Linked DNA regions of Medicago truncatula. Each later gene encodes a partner of the first gene's protein in a complex. Links are inferred from orthologs where the notes say so. Each region holds a gene or a part of one and is shown on either strand. Other genes may lie near its edges.

Region 1 (7,874 bases):
GGGAGGACTGGATGTTGCAATTCTCTTGCTTACAGGGCCTTGCGCTTCTCAGTGCTGCAATAATACATTTCTTACCTGGGCTGGTGGATGCTTTAAGGGACACGTTATTTGGAATTATGGTTGTCAAACTTCATTTGGGTATAAAAAGAGCGTAGGTTGTAGGATCGTAAGATCCCATCAAAGAGACAAAATTATAGAAATAACTAAGAAAAATAAACTTAACATAATTATCCTAAAAAAAAGACAATTTTTTTATTGACTTAATCATAAAGAAAAGATGAGAGTTTGACCTAAACATCAACAATAGAATTTTTTTTATTAATTCCCACCACGGAATGATAATTGCAAAGATGACAGTTGCATTGCATAGATGAGAAGTTCCCAAATTGGGAAGTAATTACTCAATTAAAACCCACACTGTCCCAAAAAAAGTGTATGTTCAGTGTATCCCTCTTTGCAATGAGAACCGGGTCAACTTCTGAATCAAAAACGTGTGGAACCGGGTTGTAAATGTGCATGTTGTTGCGGGTCAAAAACTGTTCACTCGGGTCACCACGTGAGAATCGGGTCGAGAATGTGTGAAACCAGCATGAGAGAAAGCATTGCTCCCTCGATTCCACGATCTTCCTCTGCGCGCTCACTGCTCCGGCCTCTCTAACAATTTTTATGCCGCTCCCAATGGAGGGAGAAAAACACATTAAATCTTACAATCTCACAATCTAGATCACACTCTTAACAACCAATGGTTGAAATGGTAGTTGAGAAAAGATTATCATTCACTATCACAGCAAGTCACTTTAAGTTCTACAGCATAAATTCAGGTGCCATTGTGAGGCATGATTACGACATAAGAGTGCGCTCACCTACTACTTAGAATAAATAAATATGCAAATCGTTATATAAATAATATGTATCTCTCATTTTCATTGATTACAATCTCCAGCTTGAAACTCTTATTCTTACAAACTCTTGTGTATGATAGGCTAGATTGCACCTTCTACGTTAAGAATTAAGATATCCTATTTTACATGTCTACTGTTTTTCCAGTCAGTCCTAGGTAAAACCTAGGAATTTGACAACCTTGGGATGCATTTGATTTTCTAAATAATGAAGATAAAACAATAATACTTGTTCCATGTTTTATTTTAGGATTAGTCAGGAGACAGAAGAAAACAAAAGATGAAACACATGACAAAATAAAATAAAATTTGTTACTTGATTATTCAGGGGACAAGGTTTTGTCTCACACAAAATATTATCTTAGAAAAATCCTTATCTTAATTGCTCACTTTCTTAAGTCTCCTTCACTCCCCCAAACCCTTATTCCTCAATCCATTCTACCTTTTCCCTCACCTGAAACAACAATCATGTGCATTGTGCATCAACCACCAAATAGTGAACAAATTAAAAAGTTGTGTTGTAACTCAACATATTGAACTTCTATGAGTGTGCATCAAACAAGGTGCCCCACCTACAAGATAAAAGACTAGTTAATGGCACCCATGGAATCCACTATAGTGCTGGAGTGGAAACCCCAACCTACCCAAGGCCAATGTAAGGTGTCCATCGCATTGTAGCGCAAAATTGAACACAAGTAAAAATACATATATTTCAACTACTATCTGAGTTTCCCAATCCTAATTTTACACTTTATTGATATCCCTCGATTTTAGGCACCAGAAACATAAGAGTTTGAAACCCTTCAACCCAACCATTCACCCATCCTTTGTGCTAAGCTGAGCTGACCTTTGTTTCAAACCAACCAATAACCAACTACTCATCGGCATCGCTTCTAGCCAAGCAGTGTTTTCCACCAAAGGTCTCTGTTCATTCATTCCCCCTGTTTCAGCACACCTATTACTTGTGGAACACTACTTACTCATTATTCACCCATAAACCTCCACTCACACATGTCTCTGTTAAATTCAGTGTTGTTAAATGGTGGCCATGGAGGAATCGCATGGTGATGGTGGATTTTTTGTCAACCTCCATAAGCAAATATGTGAAGCCAGTGAAGGGGTGCCCGTCATGATGGTGCCAACGGCCGCAATGGCATGCTTATATGGCAGGTTTTTGACATTCTTCCGTTGACAATATTGGTTAAATTTTTGTTTCTAAGTTGTGTTAAGTTCTTCAAACTTGCACCCTCTTTTTTAACTCCATCATTTTCCTTTTACTTTTGGTATATGGAAATTGTGCCTTTAGGCCATGACTTTGATAACTTTTATAAAACTCATTAATTTAACATTATATTTTTTACTTGGGAGCATGTCTATATGTCTAGCACAAATTCTATCTCTTATATCATATTCATTAATAAAGCTTTTCGATGTCAATCACTTCATACCAATGCCACTATCAGAGAATGATAACAAATTAACCATATACAGTGCACCCAAAGGATCTAAATAGAATAAGAAAATACATAACAAAATGGAACCAAATCCCAAAAATCAAGAGCGAGCAAGTTAACTTACAAATGGTGTCTTGGAAGCTTTATCATTCCACACAGCCAATAATCCCAAACCCGCAAAACAGCTCAATCCTCCACAAAGCCACGCCAATGCTTCATACTAATTTCAAACCAAAAATTCATCAACTTGATGCATATTTCACATTACAACACTTATATCCTAAATGGTGAAAAGTAGTTACCTTTCCAACAGTATCAGCAATGCGATCTATACAAGGTTCAGGAAATGGAGTACCATTGTCCCATGTAAGTTCTTCATTCATCGGAAGCTGAAAAAACATCACCAGAATTCGAAAATTGAGGTTAATTTTCGTGATTCTAAGAAAATTGAATTGAATAGGTTAGGTTAAGAGAAACGAACGGGTTTGTTAGGGACGTAGTGTTTGCCGACGGGGAGACCCATGCCGGAGCGAAGGCGGAGAGATGAAGCTACAGATCGGTGAACGACGCCGTTTCCGCCTAAGATTTGTGATGCTACGTTTGTCAATCTACCTGCCATGGTTATTGCTTCGATTCTTCTTCTTTTTCCTCTTCCTTCTTTGTTTAATTTCTGTTTGATTATTGCGTAATGTTTATGTTACTGCAATCACAGGCCAAACGACTTCGTTTTGGAAAAAAATATCCCTTTTCTTATTTTATTTTTTTTATAATTAAAGTGGGTTGGATTTTCTACCCTTTATTGTAAGTTGGGCTTGCTACTACATTTTTTGATTTCTTTCTACACCCCTTCTCCTTTGTAAAGTATCTTTTTCTTACCGTGAACGAGAAAATGAAGTGTTTAATGACTAGATTTATTGTGTAAATAAATAAATTTGATAGTGCATACATTTAATTATTTAATGTTCAAGAATGCGGAGAACTACGACAATTCTACATACGAACAAGTAACGGCATAATTTATACAATTAATCAATCAATCAAAATGGATAGTAAAAGGACAAATATTGCACTACAAAAATTTGAAAATTATAAAATGCCAAATTTGTGCTATATCTCATTTTTTTTTCACCCTCTTTGTAACACCATGATATCATTAGATTAAAATTACTTCGTGGTGCAAGATGAAAACAAAGGTCTGGTTTTAATTATTCTAGCAATGACGTGTCTGCAGGGAGGACAATGGAGAGTGATAGGGAGTAAATTATGGTTTTCTGTCTGCTTTTAATAGTTTGAGTTGCTGTCTGGTTTTTCTCTTATGTTTAGGCAGCTTGATTTGGCTAGTTGTTACAATCATTTAGAGGAAGTAGCATGAGATTGAAGGAATGTATGAGGAAAAATAATAATAGGGTCTATGTGGCTTAGGCAACTTGTACGGAGTTTATGGAATCTACACAGCTGCTATTAAAAAAAAATAGAAACTAGTGTTCCTGGTTTTGGCTCAATCAATTATTTGTATTTAGTCAATTATTCTCCTAATTCAATTGGATGGTGGCATATGTGTGCTATGGTTAATTTTGTTTGTGTTCTCGTGTCTTGGGCAGCTTGATTGGTGTAGAAGACACTGATATGCATAACTCTCGTTTTACTCTTGGCATTACTTAAGCTTGGAACAGTGATATATTTAACCATTTCCAAAATAAACTTTATGGCTGTCAAAAATAAAATACCACACTCTCTTTACCAATAGAGAAAACATAGTTTACATTTTTCACTCTATTCCATAACGAGACAATATGGTAAAATATACTTCAAATGAGTAATCAGAATTGGAACATTATCATCCTTTTTTCTTTTTGGATAAGCGTAATATTGCCATCCATATTTTCATCTATAATAAATTATTGAAATTACTCTAGTTTATTTATGTTCATTAATAAATATAATTCCTTTCTTTACCTTAACGATATTGTAGAAGTCAAGTCCAACGAACAAAATTTATGTTTCACTCTTGCATTAAACTACCCTGCGTGGTGAACTAACAAGAGGAACAAAGAGTAATATTATTACAAAGAACTTGAAATTTGACTGGTAAAATCATATACTACAAAGCACACACATATTACAAGATCTGAATTCAGCGACCATTTTGGATGCAAGCAAGTACTAAGCAAAAAACACTTGCAGTGGAAGAACACCATGGGAAATGTAAAAGACTAACAAAACCATAGTTAGTGAGTCTGTTGGATGGACACAATTAAATACCCAACTGAGTCTGAACCTCTAAGATAGTTTTAGCAGAATCCCTAAGCCTTTGTTCCTCCTCTTTATTCATGTGCACATTCGTTACACCAAGCACCCCTCCTCTTCCAAGCTGTGCTGGCAAGCTCAAAAACACTTCAACATCACCTATGCCATAAAAGCCCTTAGCTAAAACAGACACAGGGTGAATCTTCCTTTGATCCCTGATAATGGACCGCGCCAAGCTAGCAACCGAGTACCCAATGGCCCATGAAGTGTAGCCTTTTAGACTGATGACTTCATAAGCGCTGTTTATCACAGTCTTGTGTATATTCTCCAGTGTTTCTTTCTCATATGCAATCTGTTGTTTCTCCAAAAAACTCAGCACGGGAATACCACCAATGCTGATACTAGACCACAATGCTACTGAACTATCCCCATGCTCCCCTACTATGCATGCCTGCACCAATAACACTTTATTTCACACTTCAAACTTTCTCCCTTTCTATAGTGACCACAGAAATCATCAAAAAGTCATCACTTTTATTTTTCATTCCAAACAACATTGAATTAATAAACATTTAGATCATCCTCAAAATTGTAAATACTAGACAATTGGTCCCAAATTACACGAAATGAAAATTAGTCCTTGAACTTAAAGATCGTCAATCAATTCAGTCATTCTGTCGTTTAATAGATCAGAAATATTGAGTTAACATGTTATGACATTTAGCTCCAGCATGTATCTAATAATTTGTTTATAACTTATATTGATCTCTATTCAGCAATTTATAGTGTTGTTTAATTTCATGAACTGGCAAGTTCTATGTCCCCAATGGACCATTACTTAAAAATCATTTGAAACTACTCTAATGAAGATTGAAGACATCATTCGGAAGTTAAACTTTGCAGTCCTTCTCGTTCTTATGGCTGAGACGCTAATCTAATTGGTCTAAGCATACTTCTTTTCCCTTGTTTTTATGTCAAACTGACACCAATTAAGTCATCGTCTCAATGAGAACAAAGAATTCTAAAAATTTCTACTCCAAAAGGCAACATATGTTGGTGTTTGTGTTAGTTTCAAACAATTTTCATGTCTGATTCGGTGTCACCGGAACTAATTTGTTATTTGACACTAATTGTTTGATCCCTAGAGGTCGAAAATAGTAATTCACTCCTTTAAATAACTCCAAATCATCTAACATGTCATCATGAAAATAATGCAAGATCACAACAGAATCTAGTACTTCACGACAATGTAAAAAAAAAAAAATAGAGAGAAAAAAGAAAATGAGAATGACCTGAACATCCTGAGCGTTGACCTGGAGGTGATCAGCAATGAGGAAGCAAAACCGAGATGAATCCAAATTGGTACCCGACCCGATGACCCGATTAGAAGGAAACCCAGAAAGCTTCCATGCGATATAGGTAAGAACATCAACGGGGTTAGACACGATGATCAGAACCGTTTCCGGCGAGTAACGAGCCAAAGGAGGTATAATCGCCTTGAACAGAGAAAGATTCCTCTGAAGAAGATTAAGCCTAGACTCGCCACCGATCTGTCTTGCACCGGCGGTGACAATACAGAGATCGGAGCCAGCAGTGACAGAATATTCAACGGAGGAGTTGATCTTAACGCGGGGGAGGAAAGCAGCAGCGTGTTGAAGATCAAGCATTTCGCCGCGGAGTTTGTCGGGTTTGTTGTCGACGATGACGAGCTCGTCTGTGAGGTCTTGAGTTAGGATGGTCTGAGCAATGGCCATGCCGACGTTGCCGGCGCCGATGACGGAGATCTTGTTGTGACGCTTAGTGGGTGATGGTGGTGCTGCGTTTGAGATGGGTTTGAAGAAAGCTTGGGTTAAATCTAGGCCGTCTGGGCCTAACGTCGAACCAGAACCGCTCTTGTGCATGATGATGATTTGTTAGATGCAGGTATATGAATAGCAAATGTATGTGGTCTGTGAGACGAAAAGAAGAAAAAGAGACGTGTGTGTGAACTGTGAAGTAACACACTGGACTGTGAAGGGAAGAAAAGAAAAAGATACTGGTTTGGAAAACAGTAGGACCGAATAACACTGAAACAGTGGGCTATATACGTGTGCTTTTGTCATTTGATCTTGCAATTTGGAATTTAGATATTTGTGCACCGGTGCTAGTCACACCAAAAAAAAAATGTTATATTTAAATTTATTTAAAATTTTACAATAATATCAAAATTGTCTCTTCATGTAAATTTTTAAAAACTTATCTTTTATGATCATTCTGAACTCTTACCTCCTTTTATCCACAAATCACCATAGATGTGCAACCAATATCTGAATCAACATCTTTGTTATTGATCTGTACTATATTCATAAAGGTTAGCGAATTTCATGAATTTCATTTTCGATGAATTTCTATTTGTTTATTGTTTGTTTTGGTATGAGATATGCCTCTCAATTTGATTTTAAGTGAGAGGTTAGTGTAAATTAAGTTTACGTGTATGTATATAAAAGGGGTTAGTGTAGTTTACGTATGTAAGTTAATGTAAATTCAAGTTTACGTATGTTCAATTTAGGTTAGTGTAAATTCAGTTTACTTACGTTCAATTTAGGTTAATATAAATTAAGTTTACTTATGTTCAAGGTTAATGTAAATTAAGTTTTCTTATGTTCAATTTACGTTAATGTAAATTAAGTTAATTTGAAATTTTTATTTTAGTTAACAGGAATGATAAATGGACACAAATTTTCAAACACAATACAGACACCATATTAGAATACGGTATTTTTTTGTTTTTTATTTGTCTTTTTCCTCTTTCTCTTTCTTCTCTCCCTCCCCCCACTGCTTCCTTTCTTTCATCTCCCACCATCACCAACCAACCGCTGCTCCTCTCTCCGGCCATTGCTCTGATTTTCGTTCATAGCCCCACCACCACCACCTCTCAACCTTCTTCTAAGATCCATCTCACCCACCGCAACCACGGTCATCACTATTCTCACTGTCGCCGCCTGAGCACTCGCCAGTCACAGTCTCTTCTCCTCCGATGCTCTCAGATCCGACCACCACCGCCTCCTGCGACCATCACACGTATCTCCTCCTTCGATAGTTTCATATCTGACCACCACCACCAGCGAGCTTGTTCACCGTCGCTGCTGTCTCCTACAATAACAACCTCCTTCATCGTCATCCTTTCCATCTTGTTTCACCACCGCAATCAAACCTCTCATTTCCTCCGCCTTCATTGCAACTAGACCAGGGAGAGAGAGAAGTCAGGGAACCATAAAGAAGAACAATGAAGGAG
Region 2 (8,081 bases), on another chromosome or scaffold:
CATGCCTATTACACACAACCATGCCGTATGGGGTGCACTACTTGGCGCCTGTGTGATACATGAAAATGTTGAACTGGGAGAGATAGCTGCTAGGTGGACTTTTGAGCTTGAACCAGAAAACACGGGAAATTATGTTCTGTTAGCAAAACTTTATGCTGCTGTAGGAAGGTGGAGAGATGCAGAGAGAGTCAGGAATATGGTAAATGAGGTTGGACTACGAAAAACACCTGCTAACAGCTTAGTTGAGGTTAGCAATATGTGAACTGGACGTGTTCTTATAGAGTGTGATGTCAAGTTAACAACATTAGCCACAAACATGAAAGTTCTATCGAAAATGGGTTGAGGCATTTCCTTCATAGAGGGAGAAGTGCCTATTACTTGTTGGCTGCCATTGTGTTAATTATGATGGAGATAAATGGTGGTCTTGTAGGAAACACGTAACTTTAATTATATTTGACAGCATGGAGTTCCAAGGTGGTGAACTGGGATCCAATTTCCCTGAATGCACTTTGTTACTACCCAATTGCCAATACTGACTACCGGTGTTTTTCTCACACATTCATTATCTTACAAGTTTCTCGATTGCTAATGCCATGTTTGCGGTTTCACCGAAACAGTTTTCCAAGTTTTAAGGTTGTCAAATCATTGTGCGCCACTTAGTCCTTCCACAACCACTTACTCTCACATTCTCTTTATGAGTAGTTGGATTTTGTTGCTACTTCTAGTTGGTTTATGGAATCACTGAACAAGATATGATGATTGTATGTTCCTTGTCATTGACTAGTTTCTATGGAACTCATAATGAATTCATTTTGATGACAAGCGTGTTCTGTTCCCAGATATCCAAAAATTACATAGTAACGCTTTGAAGATGCATGTATCCGAGCTGATACTGCAGTGTGAAATATCAATGGAATTTCAGTTTGTAAGATATGTTGAATACTTGAGTTGGATGAAATCCCATGTTCATAGTTTAAGAATGTTGAATGTTATTGTTGAATTGGTTCCTTACAAACTTTGCGCCAAGTTGAGAAAGGAGTTGAGTAAACCCATCTATCGGGTTGTAATCTTTGATATTTGTTTACTACATTAGGCTCAGCTCCAAGTTCAATGTGTTACACAAACGGGGTATAAATTGCAATAATTGAAATTTTTATGCCTACCTGAGGCTGATGTCATTTAACCAATAGTGTGATTTATCCACATATTGGAGGCATATTCCATTAAGATCAATACCTTAATTAATTCACATGGATCTAACCTTTCTACCAAGGAGAGCATGGCTTTCTGAAACGGCGGTGTCAGTCACTGGTATATTGACAATGAAGTGTTAACAGGCATGGTGTAAGTGATGGGAAATTACCAAGTATATATGAGTTGAATGCAACCGGAAAGGTTAGTGTCATTTGCTTTCTCTCATCAGATATTTATATCATTTTTATTACAAAAATATGTTCTGTAAGAAATATTTGTACTCTGTGAAGGCATACCTCCTTTGAACCCTACTACCCTTATGTAACTTTTATAGTTGTACAAAAATGATATCATACTTTGTTATTCATAGACTGCTACAACTACAAGAGCAGTTTAGATAAGAGTGACATATATTGTCTGATAAGTTGGACATTCTTGAAATCCTTATGTACACAAATGCATTAATGAATCCATTTTAAAATTGTTGTCAAATAAGATTGAAATTTTCTTTATATATTTTTTTGATTAAATAATTTTTATTTGAATAAACAGACTTTTGCGAATTTTTGTTGATTCTAAAATTTTCCATCCAACATAGTTTGATTTTATCCCTGCAGTCATGCTAGAAATAGTTTTTTCTTCTCCCTTCATTAACAGAGTTTATGATTATGATTGAGGCAATAATCATAAACTCTGCAGTCAGTCATTGTGCTTCCTATATCAAAAGCTGATTTCCATAATTTGAATTTTATCTCTGCAGTCAGTCATGTTTGAGCTCTAATGTTCGTCTACTCCTATGGTACATAACTACATATGCTTTCAATATGTGTTATCCAAGGTTGTATGCTACTATGCTCATCTAATAACCCAGCTTGTAAACTGCTTCACAAGTTTTCTCTAAAATGTTAATCAAGATTTGTTCTTCGCTGAAAAGAAAACAATTTTACGAAGGAGGCGATAGCAACACTTTCACTGAGTTCCGATGTATAAAATATTTTTACATGCTACCAAGTAAAATCAAATTGGAAGACAAACCAAACAGGAGGATCAAACAACAATTTATCAAGAGAGACAAGCACTTTTTGGGGTTGAAAAGCCGTGTCACTTTTTTTTATTATGAATTCAATTTGTGTCACTCTAATACCAATAACAGAATTGTTGGCAGTTGCTTGCAACATGCCCTAAAGTTAATATGTTTGCTAATGGTTAGTGTAGTTGAGATTCGTACTCAACTCAACTTCATAATTGATATAGGTCTATGACATTGCGATAAATAATCCACATATATGAGTACAATTGCAATAAGTGGTAAAGCCAGAGATTTGTTAGTAGTGGGAATAACTAAGAGACACTAAGGAGTAAGGGGCCAATAACAAAAAACATATCATATAAATGACTCATTATTTCACGTGTAATAAACAAATATACAAAAGGAAAAAAAAAAAAAAAAAAAAAAAGGCTAAATTACATTTTTGGTCCCTTAACTATTTAGGTAGTATCGCTTTGGTCCCTTAAGTAAAATTCGATTTATTTTGGTCCCTTAACTTCTCTCAGTTACACATTTTGGTCCCTTAACTTCTCTCAGTTACACATTTTGGTCATTTCAATTAGTTTTAATTCAAAAACGTTAGGTTTTATTCATTTTCTTCTGAAATTTTTCTGGGATTCTTGTTGTTGAAGGTTGATGGAGATGATATGAAGATGAAAAAGAAGAGAAGAAGATGAAGAAAATCTAACGTTTTTGAATTAAAACTAACGAAAAAAACTAAAATGTGTAACAGAGAGAAATCAAGGGACCAAAATAAATCGGATTTTAATTAAGGGACCAAAGTGATACTACCTAAATAGTTAAGGGACCAAAAATGCAATTTAGCAACAAAAAAAAAAATGAAATAGTACCATATTTGAAGGCCATGGCTCTCCGTTCTATCTATCTCTTCAATTTCCATTCTCTATAAAAAATAAAAATAAAAAATAAAAAACTACATTTGTTCTTTCATACCTTCTCTTGCACTTGAAGGAGATGATCCATTTCAGAGAATTAGAATTGATGGATTGAGAGGGTTTCATGCAATCTACTTAGATGACCACACGTACGACTATAATACAATCAACATCATAAAAAATTATTGGCATCTGGTAAAAAAAAATTGGTGAACTATTGGCACCTTGTATGTGAAGTGGATTTTGTGTCAAGAAAATTTGAAGCCCAACCTAATTTTTTAGCAAGATAAACTTCATCTTATATTTTAACTTTTGTACTTTTACATTATAGGAGAGATGCGATATTGAATAGTTTTTGACCTTCAATCACCTCTATATATTGTTTTTTCTCTCATTTTATCTGAATAAGTGTTATTCACATGGACTTGAGTTATTTTTGTGATTTCGTTGTCTGATTATAACATTGTTGTTTTGTTCGTCGTCTACTGCAGCATAGTTTAATCCCTCCTTTTTAGAGTTGGGGCTCGGGAAGGGGCAAAATTGCTCAATATGAAAGAGACATTCTAAGCACTATCAAACTAGAATTCTTTAGTCTTGTTGCGGTGTTTGTTTCCTTCATATTGCTAGATCAATTTCGACTCAAAATAGATTCAACCTATGTTGACTTGACCATTAACACTACAAATTCAGAGGCATGGATACTTCAACCACTTTAATTTTATCACTTTTGCAGGCACTTTTGTGGTATTATGCTACTAACTTGAATGTTGAATTTGTTTGCAAATTCAGTTTTTTTTTTTTTTTAAGAAGCTAAACTAACCCCTTCAAATTGACACCAGAGAGAATCGAACCTGAAACCTTAAGGATGAGCACACTCTCAGGTTTCAAGTCAATACCACTATAAACTTGTATTATATTTGATATAATCTACTGATTTTTTTTTTTGGTTACATAACCTTATTTTTAGTAAAAAAAACAAAACAAAACATAAATGGCCAAAATGATTTTTTTCTTCTTGCTGATAACCAAAATGAATTTTATGTAAAATATAAAATTGGGAAAAAAAATATTTTAACAGTTTTTGACAACTTATTATATTATAGTATATTGTTAATAATATCAACAACAATATACCAAAAAAAAATTATCAACAACAAAAGTTGGCAGAAATCTAAAAACGTTTAGCCATAAAAAAAAGATTAAGAGCCCTTTTGAATTGACTTATTTTTGAACTTATTAAAAATAAATTATGCAAATAAATAAGCTTTCATGTTAATTTATTAGTTTTTATTAACGAAAATTGTATCTTCATAACCTGTTTTTTTATAAACTACATTGACAAACTTATAAATAATATAAAAAACTCATTTATTTGCATAAACTATTTTATATAAACTCAAAATAAGCCTTATCTAAACTGACCTTAAATATGTTTTTAGTCCTTACAAAATCATAAATTTTAAGTTTAGTCCCTATAAAATTTTAATGGTAATTTTAGTCTTCATGATAATGTAATTTGTAAAAATAATCGATATTTTAAAAACTTTTTAGAAAAAAATGGACACATTTAGTTCTCAAAAATAGTCCAAATAAGGACTAAAAATGAATAAATTTTTTGCATGGACTAAACTTGCAAGCTTGTAATTTTGTAGGACTAGAAACATTTTTCTTTTTTTTAAAAACATACTTAACATGAAAAAATAAAAAAAAAATTGTTTTAAAGAAAATGAAATAATATTTATCTGACTGAAGAACAATAATAATAATACCCTGCGGCTGGGAATTTTTCATTTCAATTCGAAGCAAAGCAAAGCAATTAGAGAATCCAATCAACAATTATATTGGTAGAGTTGAAATCTCGCGAATCGAAGATGGAATTTGAAGGATCATCGAAGAAGATGATTGCAACACAAGAGGAGATGGTGGAAGCTAGGGTTCCATTGGCTTACAGAGATCAATGCGCTCATTTGCTCATCCCTCTCAACAAATGCAGACAAGCTGAATTCTATCTTCCATGGAAGTGCGAGAATGAACGCCACTCTTATGAAAAGTGCGAGTACGAACTCGTCATGGAGAGAATGCTTCAGATGCAGAAGATCCGCGAAAATCAAAATGCTAATTCCAAACAACCCGTTACCCAGGGTCAGGGTGCTGCTATTCCTCTCATCCCTAAACCCGCCAATGCTTGATCCCTCTCTCGTTATGTAAGCTTCTTTCTCCTTTCAATTGGAATTGAGGTTTTTTATTTTTTATGTTTGATTAATTAGATTTCGCTGTTAGGAAATTGATGTTTTTTATTTTATGGGTGATAAATTTGTGTATATTCCTTTTGTTTTGTTGTATTGATAAATTAGGGTTTTGCTTAATTAGTTTTGGGGCATTTTCTTAGAACTGTATAGTTTTGAATGGTAATTGGGTTTGTGAGCTCAGAACCGGTAGTGTGCTTTATAAATAGCAAAGACAAACTATGAGTTTTGTTCTGCTTCGTACAAAGGAATTGTGTGGTTCAAAGTATCATTGTTTTGCCTCGAATCATAACCGAAATGGTAACTTTTCTAATTGTCCATTATCTTGTTTTAATTTTATAGTTTGTGTCTCTTACGGGGCGTGAGGAATGGTGTGTGGGTGGGGTGGGTGTTAATGGTCCCACATTGAATGTGAAGTGGCCTCAAAATGTTGTCATATGTCTTGGGTAGTCCTCATCTTCAAAGCCAGTTTTGTAAGGGTTAAGTTATGCTTGACCCAGATTTTAAGAGTTGTGTTGTTCTTTTGAAATGGCATATGCTATAATGCCCTCATACGTGTCTGATAAATTGTGATTGGTCTGTTGTGGCTGCCATCATCAGAGCGTTATGTCACTTGTGTGTAAACATTTGAAAGAGGGCTATAAAGATGGATTTGTTAAAGTGTATGTCAGTTCTTATCTTTTGAAAAAGCCCTGGTTCTTTGACGAGTGTTGGAATCATAACATTGGTAGCATGAAGAATAGGTCTTAGATGAATTAACCACGTCTCAATAATTTCCGCTTTGTAGAGCCTGGAATCAAGTTTCTTGAGACTGTTCTTCGGTTGATATGCGCTTTGGTTGACCACAATGATTTTGTGCAAACTTGTGATTTGCCTCCAATATTGTTTGTTTATGGTTCTGTTTTAATTGTAGCCATTGCAGACATCACTTGTCCAATATTGTTTGTTGGTTTGTGGTTAATAAGCTCTATAAATAGAGCATTGGTGTATCTCACAGATTATCTTTGATAATATGTTCCCATTTGGTTTTTTATCTCTTTCTCCAAGCTTCCTTGTTACAATACTTTCTTCATCCTCAGATTCCTAAAATGGCTTGAAAGGGAATGCAAATTGCGAACAGGGGAATCCATTCCTCAGTGTAAACCCGTTGCTTTTTGGGCAATGTTAACCTTGTCTAACCCTGGGGTATATGTAAATATATTTTAGGTGGACTGGACATTAATTGATTTTAGTTAATATAAATTATAGTCAGTCCCGTGGCTGAAAAGTAATATGAGAGCCCTGCCTTTTGAGCAATGCAAGTAGTTATGTTTAGGCACTTGGGCTTGATTACGAGCAATAATGTGATAAGTATCTAAGAACTTGGGGAACCCACCCACCCTTACAAACTAGCCATCAAGCATCCCATACTACTCAATGTGGCCATGTGGGACTTAGGCACCCCATAATACCCAAGTCCCTATCATTGTGCTCCAGGCAGATGAGATCCAATGCTGGCTTTGAGGAATAAAAGTGCCATTTTGAACTGTATATACAAAATATTATGATGTCTTTGTTTGGACTATAGGAGAACATTATATTGAGAGGTAAAACAATTATTTGTTGAAACAAACGTTGATGAATTTGTACTTGTATACTCAAGCTTTATTATTAATTGCACCAAAAAAATGTAAGGATATCACCCAATTCATTTGCTTTAAATTTGATGGTAGGCCTCGAATGAAGTTCTACCTTCCCTCCTCTTCTCTCCCAAACTCTCCATCCAAACATACCTTAAAACCTCAACTTTAAAAGCTGTGAGTGGTAGCAGAAATTAAAGTATTTTCAAAACAAATAAATAATTATTTGCCACAAAATACTGCAATGAATAGGTGACTTGAGGATACTGCAGAATCTGTAAATCTGTTTGTCACTTGTATTTCTGCAGCTTGAAGGTAATATTTAATTATTTATGAATGTGCTTTCTACTGGACTGTTTGATGAATTGGTAACTTTGATGATATATAGGCTCTTTCTGCACTATACGTGATAAAAAATGAATCTTTTTATTTTTAAATTTTAATGTTTTGCAAGCTTAATAGTTGGTATAAGCCAGGAGGTCTCAGTTTTTAAGCATGGTGTCCACCTTGGTTTAAGTGTGTTATTTTCCTGTTCTTCATGGTGTCCACCTTGGTTTAAGTGCATTTCCTGATTGCTTTCTGATCCATGTTATGTTATATTTGGATGCAGTTAAACTTTTGGCAGGAATCTTTGCTTGTGTGGGATGTTCTTTCATGTTTTTCTATTTTTTGGATTCAAAGTTGCCTTGGAATGTTTGTCCAGAGACTTATACAGACTGATTTTCTTGCTATTTTCCCTGTGGTAAACCATGTTTGTACTTGAAGAAATAAAATCTCATAAAGGGAATCACGATTGCGTTCATGAATCCACATATTTTGCTTCCATTAGTCACAATAGTAGTTGAAAATATATATAATACTTGGTTATAGGATCTGGATCTGATTTTAGAACTTGTACCTAGTTTATCGAACTATTCAATCTGGCGGTTGAATGATGAGGTTTAAAGGTTAGTCCAATGTTGCCTGCTACTACGGTGTCGATTTAGTATTTTTTTTTTTTTAAAAGAATAACATAATTTTTTGTAAAAGAAAATAAAAGCAACTCGAAGGAGTAATCGTAATAGTTTGAAGAGGTTGG

The links.
Region 2: the proteins of NADH dehydrogenase [ubiquinone] 1 beta subcomplex subunit 8, mitochondrial (region 1) and NADH dehydrogenase [ubiquinone] 1 beta subcomplex subunit 7 are in contact, whole or in part, in a cryo-EM structure (PDB 8BEH), measured with the Arabidopsis thaliana proteins. The link is inferred for Medicago truncatula from reciprocal best matches to the Arabidopsis thaliana genes AT5G47570 and AT2G02050. Residues at the interface, in NP_568684.1 of Arabidopsis thaliana: Ser103, Lys104, Val105, Pro106, Phe107, Thr108, Pro109, Arg110, Tyr112, Pro113, Tyr114, Leu117, Glu120, Leu121; in NP_565280.1 of Arabidopsis thaliana: Met10, Ala12, Thr13, Gln14, Met17, Leu24, Gly25, Arg27, Asp28, Met29, Arg69, Met70, Ala72, Met73, Ile76, Arg77.

The regions. Positions count from the first base shown.
Region 1 is NC_053045.1:49,707,182-49,715,055, reverse strand, and holds the start of NADH dehydrogenase [ubiquinone] 1 beta subcomplex subunit 8, mitochondrial, read right to left. Parts: upstream 3,055-7,874; 5' UTR 2,973-3,054; coding exon 2,835-2,972; intron 2,743-2,834; coding exon 2,656-2,742; intron 2,574-2,655; coding exon 2,478-2,573; intron 1-2,477. Other genes in the region: L-lactate dehydrogenase A, read right to left, coding at 4,608-5,051, 5,893-6,501. UniProt on the Arabidopsis thaliana protein: Accessory subunit of the mitochondrial membrane respiratory chain NADH dehydrogenase (Complex I), that is believed not to be involved in catalysis. Complex I functions in the transfer of electrons from NADH to the respiratory chain.
Region 2 is NC_053042.1:54,626,516-54,634,596, reverse strand, and holds NADH dehydrogenase [ubiquinone] 1 beta subcomplex subunit 7, read left to right. Parts: upstream 1-4,892; 5' UTR 4,893-5,009; coding exon 5,010-5,327; 3' UTR 5,328-5,342; intron 5,343-7,613; 3' UTR 7,614-7,870; downstream 7,871-8,081. Other genes in the region: pentatricopeptide repeat-containing protein At5g39350, read left to right, coding at 1-262. UniProt on the Arabidopsis thaliana protein: Accessory subunit of the mitochondrial membrane respiratory chain NADH dehydrogenase (Complex I), that is believed not to be involved in catalysis. Complex I functions in the transfer of electrons from NADH to the respiratory chain.